4 linked regions of the Caenorhabditis elegans genome follow. The protein of the gene in region 1 purifies or fractionates together with the protein of each later gene. This does not show direct contact. Each region holds a gene or a part of one and is shown in the gene's direction. Other genes may lie near its edges.

Region 1 (4,942 bases):
AAACAATTTCGGAGACTTTCAACTTTCAACATTTGATGATATTGATCAGGACTAATCATTTCATTTTTTTCAAATATATGTTTCTTACTATTCTCTAGGTCTTTCAGGTAGGCATGCCTACCTGATAGCCTCACCTCTACCTGAATCTCTATGTTTCTCCTCAAAATCCTCACCGATTCTAAAAACGGGTCTCTCAAAAAAGTACCAATATATTTTTGCTCAACTTGTTGCCTTCCCTTTTTTGTATCCCGGTATACTTTATTGTTATGCAATACTTAATTGTTCTCTGCGATACGCGGTGCTAATTAGTTTTCAAAATGAATATTTTTCAAATTTGGCCCTCAAACCACACAAACATAAAGTCGCCGACAAAAGGCCAGGGAGAAGAGGTGGAAAAGAAACATGAGTCAGTGTCAGGGTCACTTTTTGAATTTAAAACTGAGACGGAAGAGGAAACGGAGATGAACTGCCACTAGTTGAAATGGATAGCTTTTTGAACTTTTTTCGACAGGTGACAACGGAGTTCTGAGCATTATTTAGATGAAGTAAGACGTCCATGGTTCCTGATGCCTACCTGCCTGCTTAATAATTTTCTGCCCACTTTCCAACCGCCTATATGACTGCAATTTGATGAGAAATCTAGAGGGATTACCAACAGAAAAGTAGCAAAATAGCATGAGAGGAGCATTTTGAACAGCAAAAGTAGACGCCTGAAGCTACCTAAACTTGACTTTTGCTTACAAAAAACTTGCGAGGCAGGCGGCAGGTAGGCATCAAGCAAGCAGATAAGTTACTTCAATTTGAAATATGACTTCTGATCATAATTTCAACAGATTTTATCTCAGCTCTCTTTGAAGTAGTTTTAAAATTGTAAATTAAAAATTCGAATTATGTATGTAGATTATTTCCTTTTTTAACCAGTTAAAATATTATTACCAATAAGAACTGTAAGTTGAATTTAATGATCATATCAAAAACCATTCTAAAAAAAATTCCCGTTTTTCTGAAACGAGATGACCAAAAGCCGGCAATTTTTACAGTTTTACATGTTTATTGCCCTCTTGACTCACCTTTAATTGTTCTGAAAACATATTGTTTACGATTTGAGAAAGGGTGTCGTCAGTCTGTTTATGAAAGTGTTAAAAAATCTGATCTACTATTTTGTTTTGAAATTTTTGTAGAATATTAGCAGATTTTTTTCATGTTTTTGTAATAATTGTAAAATATGTTTTCAATAAGTTTTTGGAATTTTGATAAAAATGAAGTTGAGAATTTGAGTTTCTTGTAATTTTTTTAATCTAAAAATAATTTTTGAAATTTTTTGAGTAAAAAACATTTTTTTAACATTAAAAAAATTTTTGAAACGAATATCTCAGTTAGAAAAATTTTCCCCTTTTTTCTAATCTGCTCAACTTTATAAGCTTATATCTCGGCTGTTTTTGAAGATATTAAAAAATTTTCAACTATTGAAATATAGATAACAACTAGATGCGTAAATTGGCTGTTGAAAATTTTTTTGGTAAAACTAAAGATTACAGAGATACAGATTGCTGAAACTGGAGTATTTCAAAAGTCCTATAGAGTTCAGAGTTCAAATTGTTTTTTCTTTTCATATCACAATATCACTATACATCACTTCGCATATTACTCACCATCCTTTTGAAATTTCATCAGTTCTCAGTCTCAGTGCAGTTCAAACACTTTTATTGTCCTCCGCGCTCAGCGACCACCTATCCCCCAAAAAATTCAAAAGAACACAAACACTCTTTTTCTCTGCCAATCTCTTGTTTACCCGATATTTTTTGTTTTTCGTTTTGTCCTTCGGCATTTCATTTTCCAATCTCTTGTTTCTCTTACTCTCTCGTCTGTTTGTCCACAAGTTAGCCCGCCTCTTTCCAGGTCGGCCTCTGACTTGAAAGTTAGTCTTCATTGCTGTTGACACGCTATATCGACTGCTATCCAAAAATGGTAAGTCTAGAAAATATTGAAATTTTTTGAACTAGATGTCAGATTTATCTAAAAAAAAGTATTCATAAAATTTATAACTTGTAAAACATATTCAACCGTTATTGTTGTAGTTAAAAGTTTTAATATCTAATTTGGATTTTGAAATTTAACATTCAACGATTTAAAATAATTTTCACAAAAAATAAAACGCTCCTTTTAGAGCTCTCACGAGAACGACACCCCTCTCCCAGTTCCGTACACGTCTCGTCTCGGACAACCACTCGACGCTGGACAGACATTGAATGTTCACGGAAAGATCAACGAGGGAGCACAGGTGTAAGTTCAGGGGGTTTTCCTATTAGCTGACTAGGTGCCTACCTACGTGCCTACATTTTTTCTGTCTGGTGCCTGGAGGCAGGCAATAAAAAGCACTGAATGTATCATATTTTAGGTGAACTTTTGAAACAAGCCATATTTCAGAGCCGAGATCAATCTTCTCCAGGGAGGTGGTGAAATTGGACCAAACACCCAAGTGATCCTCCACTTGAAGCTCAATTTTAAGGAAAAGAAAGTTATTCTCAACTCTTACGAGGTACATTTTACTAGAAATATATAACTTTAATCCCGTGATTTTCAGAATGGAGTGTGGGGAAAAGAAGAGCGCGAGTCTCTTCCATTCCAAGCTGGACAAGAATTCGATCTTCGCATCCGAGTTCTCGACGAAGGCCTTGAAATCTCGGCTGACAACAAGAAGATCCACGAGTTCAAACATCGTCTTCCATTCCAATCCATTGAATATCTTTCTGTTCGTGGTGACCTTTCCTTGAATGGAATTCATTGGGGTGGAAGATTCTATAAACTTCCATGGGAGACCGCATTCCCAGCTGGATTTCTTGAAAAGGGACAACGTGTTCATTTGTATGGTATTCCAAAGGGTGATCGTTGGTCACTTGATTTGGTCGCTCGTAATCAGGATATTTTGTTCCATTTCAATCCAAGAATCAAGGATAAGGCGGTGAGTTTTGGCACTCGGGAAGTGTCGGCTGCTCAAGTTTTTTGCATTTTGATTTTGCGCGTTTTTTCTCTTCAAAATCGAAAATTCGAGATTTAAACAATTTATTGAAACAGTTGTTTTTTAGTTTTTGAAAACAATTCTGATAAGTTTGGTACTCTCAGTGTCTTAATTGTTTTGCATTAATAAATGTTTAAAAAATTATTTTTGCAAATCGAAAAAAACTGAGATTTCCGATAATATTCTGATTTTAGTAGTTTAAAAAAATTACAAAAACACAAGTTCTCCTTTACGATTTTCAATTTTCGACTAATAATTGGTGTTTCTGAAAGAAAATAAAAATAGAAAAATTCGAAACAGTAAAAAAAAAATATTTTTTACAATAAAGAAACTTTAAAAAATTTGATTTAACTTTTCCCTATAATCAAAAAAATTAGGTCCCTCTCCCTCTACGTGTTCCCCACATAATTATCATTTTGAATTCACCATGTTTTTCTTCTAGGTCGTCCGTAACTCTCACCGTAATGGATTCTGGGACACCGAGGAACGTGAAGGTGGATTCCCATTCAAGAAGGACGTCGGATTCGATTTGACCATTGTCAACGAAGAATATTCCATTCAAATCTTCATCAATCGCGAACGCTTCGGAACTTTCCAGCACCGTACCCAGAATCCAATTGGTGACTACATTGGACTCAGAATTGATGGAGAGGTTGAGGTCACTGGTATTGAGTTTTCGCATTAAATTTCGCGTTTTCTGGGAAATAATTGCATAATGTATAACAATTAATATGTAAATTAAATAATCTTCTTGCTTTTTTAAAAATAAATTCGAATTGATTTTTATTTGTATGTATTAACATTACTTATATATTGAAAAATTCAGTTCGTCTGTCCATAGTTTGTAGTCTATGTAGTCTTTGTAGTCTGCAAAGTTTTGAAGGGATATTGGTTAAGGGTTAGGGGGGAGATATGGTCAGGGTACTGTAGTAGTACTGTAGGAACAGGGAGCTGTAGTACTGTAGAAGTACTGTATGAATGCTGTAGGAGTATTGTAGTTTGGAAAAAAATTGAGTTATTTATATGCCTGAAATTGGGTTTTTTTGATTGAACTGGAAGCTCCTGGCATCTAGAAAATTTTTTTAATTAAATTCTGAAAGCGCTTACAATTTGAAACAAGTCCCCGACGAAACAGTTTCAAAAAAGTTCATTTTAAGGCAGATACTAATTTTCAAAGTTATTAAAATTAACAAAATCACCCAATAAAAAATGTGGTGACAACTTCGAGACAATGTGTTGTTTAGCGTAAAATACAAAAAAAGTCGTGCGTTGAATGAGAATAAAAAAGCGTTTTGTGCGTTTGGCACAGTACCAGCTCCCCTTTTCGTATCTCACCTTTTCGCAGATCCCCTTTTTGCAGATCCCCTTTTCGTTCTGCTCCCCTTTTCGTGGGGCCTCATCTATTTTTTCGTCTGTCAATCTATTTTTTCGTCTGTCAATCTATTTTTTCGTCTGTCAATCTATTTTTTCGTCTGTCAATCTATTTTTCGTCTGCCAATCTATTTTTTCGTCTGTCAATCTATTTTTAGTCTGTCAATCTATTTTTCGTCTGTCAATCTATTTTTAGTCTGTCAATCTATTTTTCGTCTGTCAATCTATTTTTCGTCTGTCAATCTATTTTTCGTCTGTCAATCTATTTTTCGTCTGTCAATCTATTTTTTCGTCTGTCAATCTATTTTTTCGTCTGTCAATCTATTTTTCGTCTGTCAATCTATTTTTTGTCTGTCAAGTCGTATATTAATTTTTAATTTTTAAAAATTATCAAGATCACCCAATAAAAAATGTGGTTATTTATATGCCTGTAGGTCAGTTTTTTTATTGAACTGGAAGCTTCTGGGAAATAGAACAATTTTGTGATTAAATTCTGAAAGCACTTAAAACTTGAAAAAATCTTTTATTTAAATACTAGTACTGGTACGAACA
Region 2 (4,420 bases), on another chromosome or scaffold:
AAATAACGTACGAATTGTGTCATTGTCCTCCAAAATAATCATTGCTCCCAATCGGTCAGTCAGACGTTGAACTTCTCTCGCTATATCCAACTCGTTTTGTCTTAGAAGACATTTTTTGTAAGCTAACTTGACACTAATTTCTTTCTTCTCCAATTTTGATTTTTTCACATTGAATACTTCGTCTTGCAGAACTCTTTTCATACTCTGTAAAAACAAATTGTTTGTAACTACTATACATTCAATTAGACTTCTCAGGACAAATTAACCTGAAGAGCTCTCAGATTTGATTGTTTCTATGTATAACAGATAAATGCGCCGCCTCATTTTGTTTTTTGTAATAATTGTTACCCATCTAATGTATTTTGACAGTTAAAAATTACATAGAAACATTTTCCGTCATCGAATCCCAAATTTACCTACTCTCCCCCTCCCCTCCAGAGAAATCAAAGGTAAATAGGTCACGTAAACCAGGGCTGTGCGGCAACCGGGATTTTCGGCAACCGGCAATTGCCGAAGTTGCCGAACCCGAAAATTTTCGGCAACCGGCAACTTTCGATTACCGAAATTTCGGGAAACTTTTCGGCAACCGGCCACCAAGTTTTAAAGATTTTTATATTTTTGAGCGTTTTGGCAAAAAGTAATGGTCGTTTTCTCATTTACGGCGAAATATTATCATTTTTCAGGCTCTCCGAATGCTTTTTTTGAGCTACAGAATGTTTGACATTGATATCGGCAGTTACCGAAGTTGCCGAAAAAAGTTCGGCAATTGCCGAAGTTGCCGAACCCCAAAATTTTCGGCAACCGGCACTTGCCGAAGTTGCCGATTCCAAAAAATTTCGGCAACTGGCAACTCGGTTGCCGGTTGCCGCACAGCCCTGACGTGAACGTGAATGTTTCTTTTTTTAATTCTTGTTTTTAGAGCACTTTAACGTTGATGAAAACTAATGGTTCATATGAAAAAATGTTCACCCTATCAGCCTTTTCTCACTCAAACCCCCTCGACCTTGCCAAGGAGGGTCGTTTTTGAAAATCAAAATGTTCAAAAAAATTGTCACAAAAATTGCAAAATATTGCTGACACTTTTTTTGAGCATTTATAACACGAGTTTAAGTGAACCAATTTGCGCTTTTTTTGTTGCTTCTTTCTGTTCCAAAAACATTGCCCTGTATGGTCATCTAATTGGGGTATCATGATTTAGCGGTTGTTATTCACTCAAGCTTAAGAACCAGGTGTGAGGACCGCAGGCCAGAATACTCTTGGAAACTGTGGGCCGGCTTCAACCATATTCCAAGCAAAGCAGCCATTTTTTTCGGGCACATCCCATAACCGAAGGCCCTGCCGCACTAGTCGCCAATAATCGCGCGGAATAATTAAAGTTGTTGCGTAGAATTTCCATAATTTTCACATAAATAATTGAGAGCCGGTTGGCTTTTATACTTAAAATTTTGTGATTCATCTTATCTGATATCAATTTAAAATAGTGTGGCAGGTGATTAGGTGAGGCATCTGACCATCCAATCTTTGCTCACGAATGCAGTAATCAATTGTGTGAATGCGATCGAAAATTTGTGGAGTGTTGAGCAAAGTATCCGGAGCCAACAGGAGAGCTAAAGTGCCCACACCCCAGGCTCTCCCGTTTTTTGCTGAAATTGCAGAAGTTGAGCTAATTTTTTTTGAAATTTAAAAAATTAGGTAATTTGTAAACACGATATTTCGGGTAAAAACACTTTTTTAAACTTTTGGGTTTTCATTCTGGCAAAAAAAACGTGGTCACACTTCTAATTATCACGTTTAATCTTCCCCTCCCCCTCTCTCACTTTAAATAAAAAAGGAAAAAAAAGAGAAATATTCAATTATTTCTATTGTTTATCATCATGGATGTCTTCGATATTTTGATAAGTCAATATTGGACATTCCTGTCTGTTTTTCTGGTGAGTTTTAAAACCTTTTAGATATTGTTTTTACACAGTAGATGTGTTGGCATCATGCGCACATCGAAAATTGAATGTGTAAAGAATCCGTTATAATTTCAGAAAGTCTGTAAAATTATAACTAAACTTAACATTTCAGATTAGCATTTTAATGACAATTTGTGGCGGAAAAGTGCGCAGACAAAACTCGAAACCATCGAACGAAGACCAACAACAGCAACCTGTGTCTGAGCCAAACTACGATAAAACTCAAGATATCCAAACAGTTGAACTTCAAGAGGATCCACTTGCAAATGTTCGTCTTCTAACACCAACACTTCCTGGTGGATGTAATGATGAGAATGCGGCAAAAGAAGCTGCGCTCCGTCATAAAACCAATCAATACTTCCCAAAGTGGGAAATCCAAACACGGAGAATAACGAATGGGACCACGAAGGAAGAGATGAAGAAGATGGTTGCGCAATTGCCACAACATCCGAAACAACGGTACAGGAAGGAGTTGAGAGTTCCCGTGTTGGATAAGAGAAACGAAAAATGGAAAGAGTTAGTTTATCACAATTACAGATTTCAACGCGAAGATGCCTAAGCCTTAGCCAATGCCTACGCCTAAGCTGATATATCTTCATGCCTACATGCCTGCCTACATGCCTACATTCTTTTCTGATTTCCCGCTACCTGCCCTCGACCACCTGCTACTTCCCGGATAATCCTCTCGAAAGAAGTGTCTGCCTGCTTAGTGCCTACAAAGCGTAACTTTCCTGGAAGGCAGCACTTTTTTCAGAAGCCTTCTGATTTCACCCTAGTTTTGTATTGAGAGATGTTTAAGATACTGTCAATAATTGCCTAGAAATTGCCTAAGATAACCATTCGAGCTCGGCATGCGTGCCTGCCTATCTACCTACAATTGCAATTCTCAATTTCAGCGCCCATGTTCATTGGCGAGAGACTGGTTTGGCCTTTATTATCCGAAGCAATGATGCATGCCGATCGAAAGATGATGGAGGTTGTGACACGATCGATAGCCAAAATAGTAAAGAAGACCAGGAAAGATCGAAGGTTTGAATCAATTATTATTCATATGTGAAAAAATCTTGAAAATCTTCCAGGTGAACTCTGAAATGCCGTTGTCCGACAAGAAGCCCGACCGAAAACCGCAAGAAACACCTCGTCGCAGCAAACAACGGACTCCTGGTCCAATGATGCCTACTCAAAAATCATCCAAAAAATCAGCAAAAGAACGGAAATTGGAGCCAACTCAGGAGGAGACCATGAAGAGCGGCGGCGGTGGTGCAAAATCGGGACGAACTACTCCAAAGACAGCTGGAATGGCAACTGCAAATGCACCTTCGAATACAGAATCTGGAAAGTCGGTGTTTTCTGTTTGATTGTGATAATCTTGAATAATGGGATTTTGTTTAAATTGTTTTTTTTCAATTCAATTCAACAATAATTCAACAATAACAACAAAGTGAAGAAAGGGGAAAAATCAACAAAATAACAAAAAATTGATTCACACAACCAATGAAACGTTCTTCCCATCAGTAACCGCCGCACATTTTTGAAGTTTCTCATTTAAAATCGACTTGCACCAGCTGCGGAGAGCTCTTCAATTATGGCTTTTTCAGCTTTTTTCGTGGCAGCTGTTTCCTTCTTTACCGCTACGGCTGCTTCTTTTGGAGACTGGAAATTTTTTTATGAAATGTCTTCCCGTGAAAAAGTGTTCATTGTATTTTTCGAATATCCGCTGCAACCGGGTACTCCTTTCTTGACAAAAAAAATCGCGTATCTCAAAGTAACTCCTTTAGTGTCTATTAGTCAACAACTCAAGTAATTCCGAACCTTTAAAAGTGACATTCCAACTGAACACGTCATTGTTAGTTGACGCCAGTTAGCGGTGAATTTTTCATGTTATAGAAAATATATTTAATGACTTATTTATTTTAAATCCTTATATACATCGGAAAAAAACCTTTTTAAATTTACAAAAATATTTTTTTTTCTATATTTTTATTTTTTCCTTAACCTCTTCCACGTCTTCTCGAGAGCGTAAATAACTTTTAAAAAACTATATTTTCAAAAGGGAGCAGACAGTTGATATTAACAAACCTTTTTAAATTTACAAAAATATTTAAAATCAAAAGTTCACGAAAGGTCACTGGTTCATCTTGATAACGACTGCTATTCAGTTTATACAACTTTAACATAAAGTTTCAAAAAGATGTCTCTGACGGCCGATCCACCAGCGTGCACTGTTCCAGCTGCTGGAGGTGCTTCTACCCACAAACTTGTCAATGCTGGAGCTGAGAAGATGATCTTCAAGATCAAGTCTTCAAACAACAACGAATACCGCATCACTCCGGTCTTTGGATTCGTTGATCCATCTGGTTCAAAGGACATCACAATCACTCGTACTGCTGGAGCACCAAAAGAAGACAAGCTTGTTGTTCACTTTGCCGCTGCTCCGGCTGATGCAACTGATGCCCAAGCTG
Region 3 (3,875 bases), on another chromosome or scaffold:
TTTCATTGGGTGCCCCAGGAAATTTTGTTTTTTCGTACCGTGTTAGTAAAGATATTATGATCCAAATCGTTTTTTTCCAGTTTTTTGGCACATGAACTTTGAAAACGAAATATTATTATTTCATCAAATTTTATCTAGATTCAATTTTTAGGCTGACGTTTCCTGTTGAGTGGACGCCAAAATGAGCCGTCCTAAAAAGCATCCTTATGTTTCAGCGTGCAAGCCGCAAATCAAAAATTCGACATTGATCTCATTAGACACTTTCCTTGCAAATCAATCAATAGTTTTTGAAATTTCGATGGCCGTCGGTGAGCGGGGCTATCCGTTTCCCTTTCTCTCTCTTGAATGTTTTCGTCGCGTCAGTGGAACCTGCAGATAAAGCAAATGAGAGAAAAAGACATAGAGCAAACGACAGCTTTACACTATGATTGTCGAGTTCTGCCCCGGGGATAGGCTCTCCTCTGCCACAGCGACTCCTCTCCCGCCCTTCATCTATCTGCGGTACTTCATTCCCCCGTACACTGTTCCAATCGGCGCGCGCTCTCTTCAGGATCAACACACTGTTCTCACACACACACACACGGGAGGCAAGGAGACAAACTGGTGTCTTACGGCTATTGAGCGGCAATTCAGTCTTAGTCTCACATTTTATGTCCAACAGAGGCTCAGCGAGCAACGAACCCCACGCAAATATCTTCCGATCTCTTTGCGTCCCGGTTTTGAAACGAACGTTTATTGAAACTTTTTGAAAGTTAGATTTCTCACTTTTTGTTAATTTTTTCGAATTGTTTTTATTTATGACGTCTTCCCCATATTGCCGTATTTTCTGAAAATATCAAAAAGTGGTAAATTGCAAAACTGACCAAAAATGAAAATTTTGTTAAGAAATAATTTACCTGCTGTGGCTCTAAAGTCTTTTATATATGTTTTTTTCGAATACTACATTTAATGTAACAAAACTGGTGTGCGTGTACGTGAAAATCTTGAAATTTAGTAGGCATCCACTTTGAGGATAATTTTCTGAGGAAATGCCAAAAATCAGCACCCCAAATGATATCATGGCCGGACATCTACCGGGATTCGGTCTTGCAATAAGCTAACTCACTACTGATGGAAGCACAATGCGGAGCGTAACCCGGTAGATGTCGAGTCATGATAACACTTCTGGTCCCGGTTTTTACAGTATTCCTAAAAGTAACTATCCAATTGTGGGTATTTCAAATTTAAGGATAAAAATACTGGGCCTATTCTTTCTATCTTTTTTTGAATCTCAGACAGGTTTTAGATTTGAGACCTTTCTAGTTAACCTCAATAATTAAATTCTCCAGTACTGGTAACAAGAAATCTCAAGGTTTTTTATTTGCTCTGTAATTCTTGGCTCAAACTCAAACTTTCACTGATTTCAATATTGATGTTAAGCACCTGGTCGTATTAATTTAATGTTGCTATAATGCTTTGTAAAAGTTGAGAAATTTGAAGGTGGCACAAATTTGTAGAAAATTTTACGTCATTTTCTAAAACAAAACTGCTATAAAAATAACTGCCGCTTTCCATCTAAAAGTATCCGCTGAAAATTCTAATAATATTTTATAGACATCGAATTACCTAACAACGAATTATAAAAAAAATTTTGTTGTAAAACCAAGTTTTAGCTTCTATAAAACCAAGTTTTAGCTTCTCCTAAGCAGGTAGTTAGACCTGATTTCATAATCGTTTACCAGACATGCGATCAGATATCTAATCAACATGTGTTCATTACTCATCTCTCCAAACTGCTATTTCAAAATAATTTCTTCATGATTTTTTGGAAAACGTCAGAAACCAAGCGTCATCTGTTTCCATATCTCTCTCTCTTTCTCCCACGCACTGCACAATTGTGCCCCGTTTTCCACGTTTTGAGCTTCTAGACTTTCACTTTTACTTTCAAAGTTTTCAGCACACACAAAACGAAAACATGTCGTGGTCTGATATTATCAACAATAACCTTATCGGGTCTGGAAATGTGAGCAAGGCTGCCATTCTTGGATTCGACGGAGCTGTATGGGCAAAGAGTGATAACTTTAATGTAAGTTTTCAAAGTTTTTAAAATTGTCAAGTTGCCAAAATCTCGACTTTCAGTGGCATGATCAGCTTGTGATTGGTGTTAGAACTTTTTTGAGATATTAAAACTGGAAAGGACTTGCAATTTTCTTAGGCTAGAATTCTAGGTATTTCTCTAGGAATGCAACTCCTGGTCGATACACCACCTCTCTTTGAATCTCATCTCTGATCTAAAAACACTGTAAACTTCTATCAAAATCTATATTTTGTCTGCACCAGTTTTGAAAGATTAGTACATGGTGCATTGACAGATAATGAACAAATACCGCCTGCGTGAGTTTTGTTACTGAAAGCATATTTAGCTTGTTATAAAAATAGTCTTCATGTAGGAAAGGTGTGTTGGTGTACTGTAGAAGTACTTTAGTGTTACTATTGTTCAAAAATACGTTTTATCTATTGAAGGAATCGTCGGTGAAGATGGTGTAGGAATATTGTAGTGTAGGATTATTTTAGTCCTAAAAATAAGGTTTCGTTATTTTTTGGAAAACATAAGTTGAGGCTAGAGTCGGGGCACTGAGCACTGTAGTAGATCAAGCAGTACAATTTGAATAGTAACGTATTTCCAGATCTCCGTCGAAGAAGCCGTCGCCGCAGGAAAAGCCTTCACCTCCTTGGTACCTTTTGCTTCTCTTAATATCATTCTCACCCTCTAATTTTCAGGATGCTCTTCTTGGAACCGGCCTCCGCTTGGAAGGACAAAAATTCTTGGTCCTCAACGCAGATAATGACAGAATAATTGGAAAGCAAGGAGGATCTGGATTTTTCATCTACAAAACTATCCAAGGTGAACTAACTAGGATTACTAGACTGATTTAAACAATCTCTGAAACTTTTAGCCGTTATTATTTCCATCTACGAGAAAGGACTCCAACCAGAAATGTGCAGCAAGACCACCGGAGCCCTGGCCGATTACTTCAGGTCCATCAAGTACTGATCACAATTCCCGAAGCCTCCTGCCGATTTGCCATCCATGTTTGCATTTTTTTTTTTGTATTTTTTCATTTCGTTTCTTTTTTATATAAATAAATAATGAAATAAATATTTATCTTTCTCAAAATTCAAAAAAATAGCAACTCGAAATAAATAATATGAGGTGAAAAGCAAAATAAAGCGGGTGGTTTGATTTCCGAACAAAAAAAGTCAAGAGTGATATGGAAAATAAATTTGGGAAGATGTCATATTATACAGTTTTTGAATTGGGTCCGTGTAGCTTGAAGTTTCCGAAGTCTCCACCTCGTCAGCGTCCAGGTCTGAATTTTTTTTTTGATAAGAACAATTGTTTGAATTCTAGAAGTCTATAGTTTTAGCCCTTTTGGTTCAGCTATCCGGGACTGACCAACTGAACAATTATGTAAAAGTATAGTGAAGCTTAGGCCGATCTTGCTGCAAATTTCGAGTTGGGCCTGCATCGCCCGACACCTCACCGGTTATACAAATCTATAGGAATTCACCTGGCATGGTTAGCCGACACAAGCACGGACCGTATCGGCTAGCCGTACCATGTGTACTACGCGTGAAGCCTTCTTGAATTTGATTGTTTTAAGGTTCGCAATTTTGCCGGGCTCGGGAACCCTCATATTCCCAAAACGTGGATCAATCTATTTTACACCGGATTGCTAGTCAAGAAAAGATTGACCAATTTAACCGGACTAACATAAGTGTTTTCGGCGTGCAAAGATTAGAGCTCTGACCGGGCTTCTCAAAATTGCCGATTGTTAGAAACTTTCAGCATCACCTGTGGTCTAACTAGGTATTCGAGAATAGACAAAAATGGT
Region 4 (5,277 bases), on another chromosome or scaffold:
TATAACAATTGTCTTTCTCTTTTAAAACTTTATAATTTTCTTTTTCAGAAAAGAAAATGCGTGAGGTCATCTCTATCCACGTCGGACAAGCCGGAGTCCAAATCGGAAACGCCTGCTGGGAGCTCTACTGCCTCGAGCACGGAATCCAGCCCGATGGAACCATGCCAACTCAATCAACGAACGAGGGAGAGTCGTTCACCACTTTCTTCTCAGACACCGGATCCGGCCGTTACGTTCCAAGATCCATCTTCGTCGATCTCGAGCCAACTGTCGTTGACGAGATTCGCACTGGAACCTACAAGAAGCTCTTCCATCCAGAGCAGATGATCACCGGAAAGGAAGACGCCGCTAACAACTACGCTCGTGGACACTACACCGTCGGAAAGGAGCTCATCGACACCGTCCTCGACAGGATCCGTCGTCTCGCTGATAACTGCAGTGGACTCCAAGGATTCTTCGTCTTCCACTCCTTCGGAGGAGGTACCGGATCCGGATTCACTTCGCTTCTTATGGAACGTCTTTCCGTCGACTACGGAAAGAAGTCCAAGCTCGAGTTCTCCATCTACCCAGCTCCACAGGTCTCAACCGCCGTCGTTGAGCCATACAACTCGATCCTCACCACCCATACCACCTTGGAGCACTCCGACTGCGCCTTCATGGTCGATAACGAGGCCATCTACGACATCTGCCGCAGAAACTTGGATGTTGAGCGACCAAGCTACACCAACCTCAACAGAATCATCTCCCAGGTTTGTTGAGCTCAATTTGATTGTTGTATTCTAATGTTCTCTTTTTACAGGTTGTCTCCTCAATCACTGCTTCCTTGAGATTCGATGGAGCCCTCAACGTTGATCTCAACGAGTTCCAGACCAACTTGGTGCCATACCCAAGAATTCACTTCCCATTGGCCGCCTACACTCCACTCATCTCTGCTGAGAAGGCCTACCACGAGGCTCTGTCCGTCAGCGACATCACCAATAGCTGCTTCGAGCCGGCTAACCAGATGGTCAAGTGTGATCCACGTCACGGAAAGTACATGGCTGTGTGCCTCTTGTACAGAGGAGACGTCGTTCCAAAGGACGTTAACACCGCCATCGCTGCAATCAAGACCAAGAGAACCATCCAATTCGTCGATTGGTGCCCAACCGGATTCAAGGTCGGAATCAACTACCAGCCACCAACTGTTGTGCCAGGAGGTGATCTTGCCAAGGTGCCACGCGCCGTCTGCATGCTCTCCAACACTACCGCCATCGCTGAGGCCTGGTCTCGTCTCGACTACAAGTTCGACTTGATGTACGCCAAGCGTGCCTTCGTCCACTGGTATGTTGCCCGTTAAACTATACTTTTCAAATATTCAATGTGTTTCTTTTCAGGTACGTCGGAGAAGGTATGGAGGAAGGAGAGTTCACCGAGGCTCGTGAGGACTTGGCTGCTCTCGAGAAGGACTACGAAGAGGTCGGAGCTGACTCCAACGAGGGAGGAGAAGAGGAGGGAGAGGAGTACTAGATGCTCCCACAATCAACTGCCTGGCGATTGACTTTTAATTTATTACTGCAGTTCGATCGTCATAAACAATGTATTATGAAGTATTTTATTTATATAATGTTTTTTGTTAAAAAGAGAAAGAATGAAAGTCGGAACACTTTACGTTTATACCGAGTTGAGTGCCGCAGAGCAAACATGTACAAGCCGACAGTATTTGAGCAGCAGACGCTTGTTCTGCTCATCGATCAGTATTAGATTACAGAAATGGCTGGGCATGTGAATGGAACATGTGCTCCAGTGATTCCAAAGGTTGGTGATGAGGAAGACGGTGTCGGGCAGTTGGTGGCAAATCTGAAAGAGAAGGGAACAAATTTTGTTCTTTTGAAGAAGACTCCACAGATACTTGAATTGCAGACAATTTTGAAAGATAGGTATGAAGTTTGACTGGGAATAGACTGAAGCCTCAAACATTTTATGGGTGAAAATTTAAAGAAAGGGGCTGAAAACTCATATTTCCAAGCTCTTTTTCCAGATTTTGCGGAAAAATTAACGATTTTCGGTATTTTTGCCGGAAAAACTTGTTGATTTTAAATAAACTCCTTTTTTGCCTTAAAAAGCGATTTTCTTGGAATTTAGATTTTAAAAATCCGTTAATTCACAAATTTTCGGGTCAGAAACGGCATTTTAAGCGATTTTGCCAGTAAATTAGGAGAAAAATAGAAAACGTTTTCATTTTTTGGCCTTTTTGCCGTGAAATTAACTGAAATTTTGATTAAAAAACGTTTTTTTTTGTTAGAAAACATGAATATATTTATTTATATAAATGAATTTTTCAAGGATTTTCTCGGATTTTGAGTCAAAATTCCGATATTTTCATAAATTTCCGGGTCCGAAACGGTATTTTTCGTGATTTCCTCGCAATTTTAGAAGTTTTCCTTGTAAAAATTGGTTGAGGCTCAGAGAATCTTGTAGTTTGTAGTTTGTAGCCCCATAGCCTCAACCATCTTCCAATTTCCAGATCAACAAATCACTCGGATTTCGTATTCAACGCGGATCGTCTGATGCGGCTTGTAATTGAAGAATGTCTCAATCATCTTCCATTCACTGAGCACACAGTTACCACACCAACAGGCTTCAAATATGAAGGAATTCAATTTAATCGTGGAAATTGTGGAGTATCGTTGTGTAGAAGTGGAGAGGCGATGGAAGTTTCATTGAGACAGTGTTGTCGGTGTATTCGAATTGGAAAAATTCTGATTGGTACGGGAAATTGAGGATATCGAGAGGAATTTGGGAAATTTCCTAGAAAAGGCGAAGAAAATTGAGAAATATAGAAGAAAATGGCGAAAAATCACCAAAATCATTGCGATTTTCATCAATTTCTCCCTGAAATTACCTGGAATCTCTTATAAATGCAGATTTCTGCTTGAAAAATGGAAAAATCTGGTGAATATCCAGTTTTTATAGATTTTCTCCTGAATACCCCTCAAAATCTGTGAAAAGTCTGACTTTTCCTTCAAAAATACCTCTAATTCGTAGAGAAACTCGTTTTTTCAGCCGAAAAATGTTTTTTTTTTTAAATCTGTAATAAATATGTACTGTTCTTATGGTAAAATTCCTGAAAAATATATTAAAAATATATATAATAGTAAAATTTGCGTTTTTACCCAGAAAAGTGGTAGAAATCGTGAGTTTTACTGAGTTTGTCGAAAACTGGCGATACTTTTTTAAAAGAAAAACCTCAAAACTCGCAAAATTTCCAATTTTCATCCACTTTTTGTTACAGGCGACGAACAAAAAGTGCTCTACGCCAGGCTTCTTCCGGATATCACGTCGCGTCGAGTTCTACTGCTCTACCCAACGATAGGGTACGCTCAGAGACTACAAACTACAAAAAATATCTGGCCGAAATAAATTTGATTGAAAAATCTGAGAAAAAAAACACAAAATTTAATGTCAAAAAATCGATTTTCCCGGCGAAAAATCGTAAAATTCAATAATTTGTTTGACGTAGAAACTTTAAAAATGTCGATCACTAAAACTTCCCCAGAAGGCGAAAAATTGTCTAAAAAATTGAGTTTTTTTTTGTGCAAAAAAAATCTTTTTTTGAAATTTTTTTAACTGAAGAAACATTTAAATTTAAAAAATCACATTTTTATCAAAATTTCCAATTTTTCAGATCTGGGACGACAGTTTGCAAGGCAATTGAAGTCCTAAAAGAGGCACGTGTCCCAGATGAGAATATCTACTTGGTTTCCCTATTCATCTCACCGACTGGACTCAAGAATATAACCAGAAAGTACCCGTATATCACTGTCGTCGCCTCCGATATCACATCTCTCTATCCAAATCATTTCTCAACCAGCTATTTTGGTGCTGTCTAGACTAGTTTTGTGTAGTTTGTAGCCTTTTGACACTACAAACTACATCGTTTCCGTTTCAAATGCAGTATTTTTATTCACTTTTCTCACTTGATCATCTCTTCATTTCTCGTTATTGGTTTGTAGTTTGTAGTTATTGTAGTCTTCTTTTTTACTTTTTCACTGTTGATTTCCCCTATTTTTTTTTGACAAAATGTTCATTGAATTTCCGCATAACTAAATTCTTTTGTGTTGTTTTCGGTTCATTAAACATTATTTTAAGATGCAATGACTACGGTAGTCATTTTCTGAGTACATGGTGTGCGTACAGGGCGCTATATTTTACGCGCAAAGTTGAGAGTGAGATTTTTCCTCATTTTTTGGATTTTCACTGCAAATTTAAGAAATTTTACGAAAATAAACGTTTTATTTCAAATTCTATTTGCTACTTTGCATGCAAATTGTTTTTTTTTCATTATATTCTGAAAATAAAATAAGTTAAAATTAGCCGTTTCAAAAAAAGTTTCCGAAACTACGGTAGTTCTCGGAGTACGCAACTTGCGTACCGGGCATCTCATTTGACGCACAGAATTCCTAGTTTATTGTTTTTGGATTTTCAAAATTTCAAACATAGTTTTTGCATTTTTCCTGTCGTTTTTGTGATTTTTATTTGTGAAAATTTATTAGACAGAAAAGAAATTTTCAGTTTTCACGAAATTTACTGGAAAATTTGTTATTTTACCGTTAGGTAACGTATTTTACAAAGATATTTCACTTTATCCGTATTTTCTTATTGTTTTCTTCACTTCAAACGATTGAAAACTGAATCAATCAAATAAATTTCCTATTTTTCAGGTAATTTGTCAAAATGACTGGCTCATCTCGTGGAATTGTCGAAATGACAAAGAAACTGGATCGATTAAATTGTTAGTGTTAAAATGAAATTTGCATCGGATTCAGTTTAAAATTTGCTTATTTTCAGATCGAAGAAAAGACCACTTACGCTTTTAAGCATGCCAGTTGATGTTATGGAGAAAGTTATGAAGAAAGTGGATCCATACGATTGGTATCAAATTTTGAATGTTAGGCAAATGTTAAAAAAAAACCAAATGAGTTTCAGGATTTCCGTCCGCAATTCCAATCGAAATCTTCGAGATTTCGTCGACAGCCAGCACCTCAAATTGGACATTGATGTTTCTATTGAGGGCACTTTTCACACCATTGATATCAATGGAAATCAATCCTTCGGACCTTTCCATCCGGTCGTGGCTGATGATGAAAGAAGAACCATCTACAATAAAAGACTACAGTTTGCTCTCAGAAAATTGTTCGTGGTTATGAAGCTTCCAAGTGCCCAAATTGAAGAGTTCAAACTGGATTTTGACTTTATGGGAAGAGGAAGTGACGAATTTGAAGATATCTACGATATTGG

Evidence for each region.
Region 2: the proteins of lec-4 (region 1) and F44D12.6 fractionate together in Caenorhabditis elegans (co-fractionation; one large-scale study listed by BioGRID). This does not show direct contact.
Region 3: the proteins of lec-4 (region 1) and pfn-3 fractionate together in Caenorhabditis elegans (co-fractionation; one large-scale study listed by BioGRID). This does not show direct contact.
Region 4: the proteins of lec-4 (region 1) and C47B2.2 fractionate together in Caenorhabditis elegans (co-fractionation; one large-scale study listed by BioGRID). This does not show direct contact.

What each region holds. Positions count from the first base shown.
Region 1 is NC_003281.10:3,770,284-3,775,225, reverse strand, and holds lec-4 (Galectin), read left to right. Parts: upstream 1-1,899; 5' UTR 1,900-1,965; coding exon 1,966-1,968; intron 1,969-2,167; coding exon 2,168-2,283; intron 2,284-2,427; coding exon 2,428-2,539; intron 2,540-2,584; coding exon 2,585-2,962; intron 2,963-3,461; coding exon 3,462-3,704; 3' UTR 3,705-3,801; downstream 3,802-4,942. Other genes in the region: acy-3 (adenylate cyclase), read left to right, coding at 1-55.
Region 2 is NC_003282.8:10,031,489-10,035,908, forward strand, and holds F44D12.6 (CDI domain-containing protein), read left to right. Parts: upstream 1-1,864; 5' UTR 1,865-1,874; coding exon 1,875-1,931; intron 1,932-2,070; coding exon 2,071-2,474; intron 2,475-2,854; coding exon 2,855-2,987; intron 2,988-3,037; coding exon 3,038-3,316; 3' UTR 3,317-3,392; downstream 3,393-4,420. Other genes in the region: msd-3 (MSP domain-containing protein), read left to right, coding at 4,150-4,420.
Region 3 is NC_003284.9:1,078,705-1,082,579, reverse strand, and holds pfn-3 (Profilin-3), read left to right. Parts: upstream 1-1,930; 5' UTR 1,931-1,954; coding exon 1,955-2,065; intron 2,066-2,666; coding exon 2,667-2,714; intron 2,715-2,760; coding exon 2,761-2,884; intron 2,885-2,936; coding exon 2,937-3,034; 3' UTR 3,035-3,150; downstream 3,151-3,875. Other genes in the region: LIM/homeobox protein lim-6, read right to left, coding at 3,241-3,350. UniProt on the Caenorhabditis elegans protein: Binds to actin and affects the structure of the cytoskeleton. At high concentrations, profilin prevents the polymerization of actin, whereas it enhances it at low concentrations. By binding to PIP2, it inhibits the formation of IP3 and DG.
Region 4 is NC_003279.8:12,961,043-12,966,319, reverse strand, and holds C47B2.2 (Phosphoribosyltransferase domain-containing protein), read left to right. Parts: upstream 1-1,740; 5' UTR 1,741-1,749; coding exon 1,750-1,916; intron 1,917-2,503; coding exon 2,504-2,745; intron 2,746-3,271; coding exon 3,272-3,353; intron 3,354-3,664; coding exon 3,665-3,869; 3' UTR 3,870-4,278; downstream 4,279-5,277. Other genes in the region: tba-2 (Tubulin alpha-2 chain), read left to right, coding at 57-749, 800-1,320, 1,374-1,506; fbxa-140 (F-box domain-containing protein), read left to right, coding at 4,859-4,911, 4,966-5,277.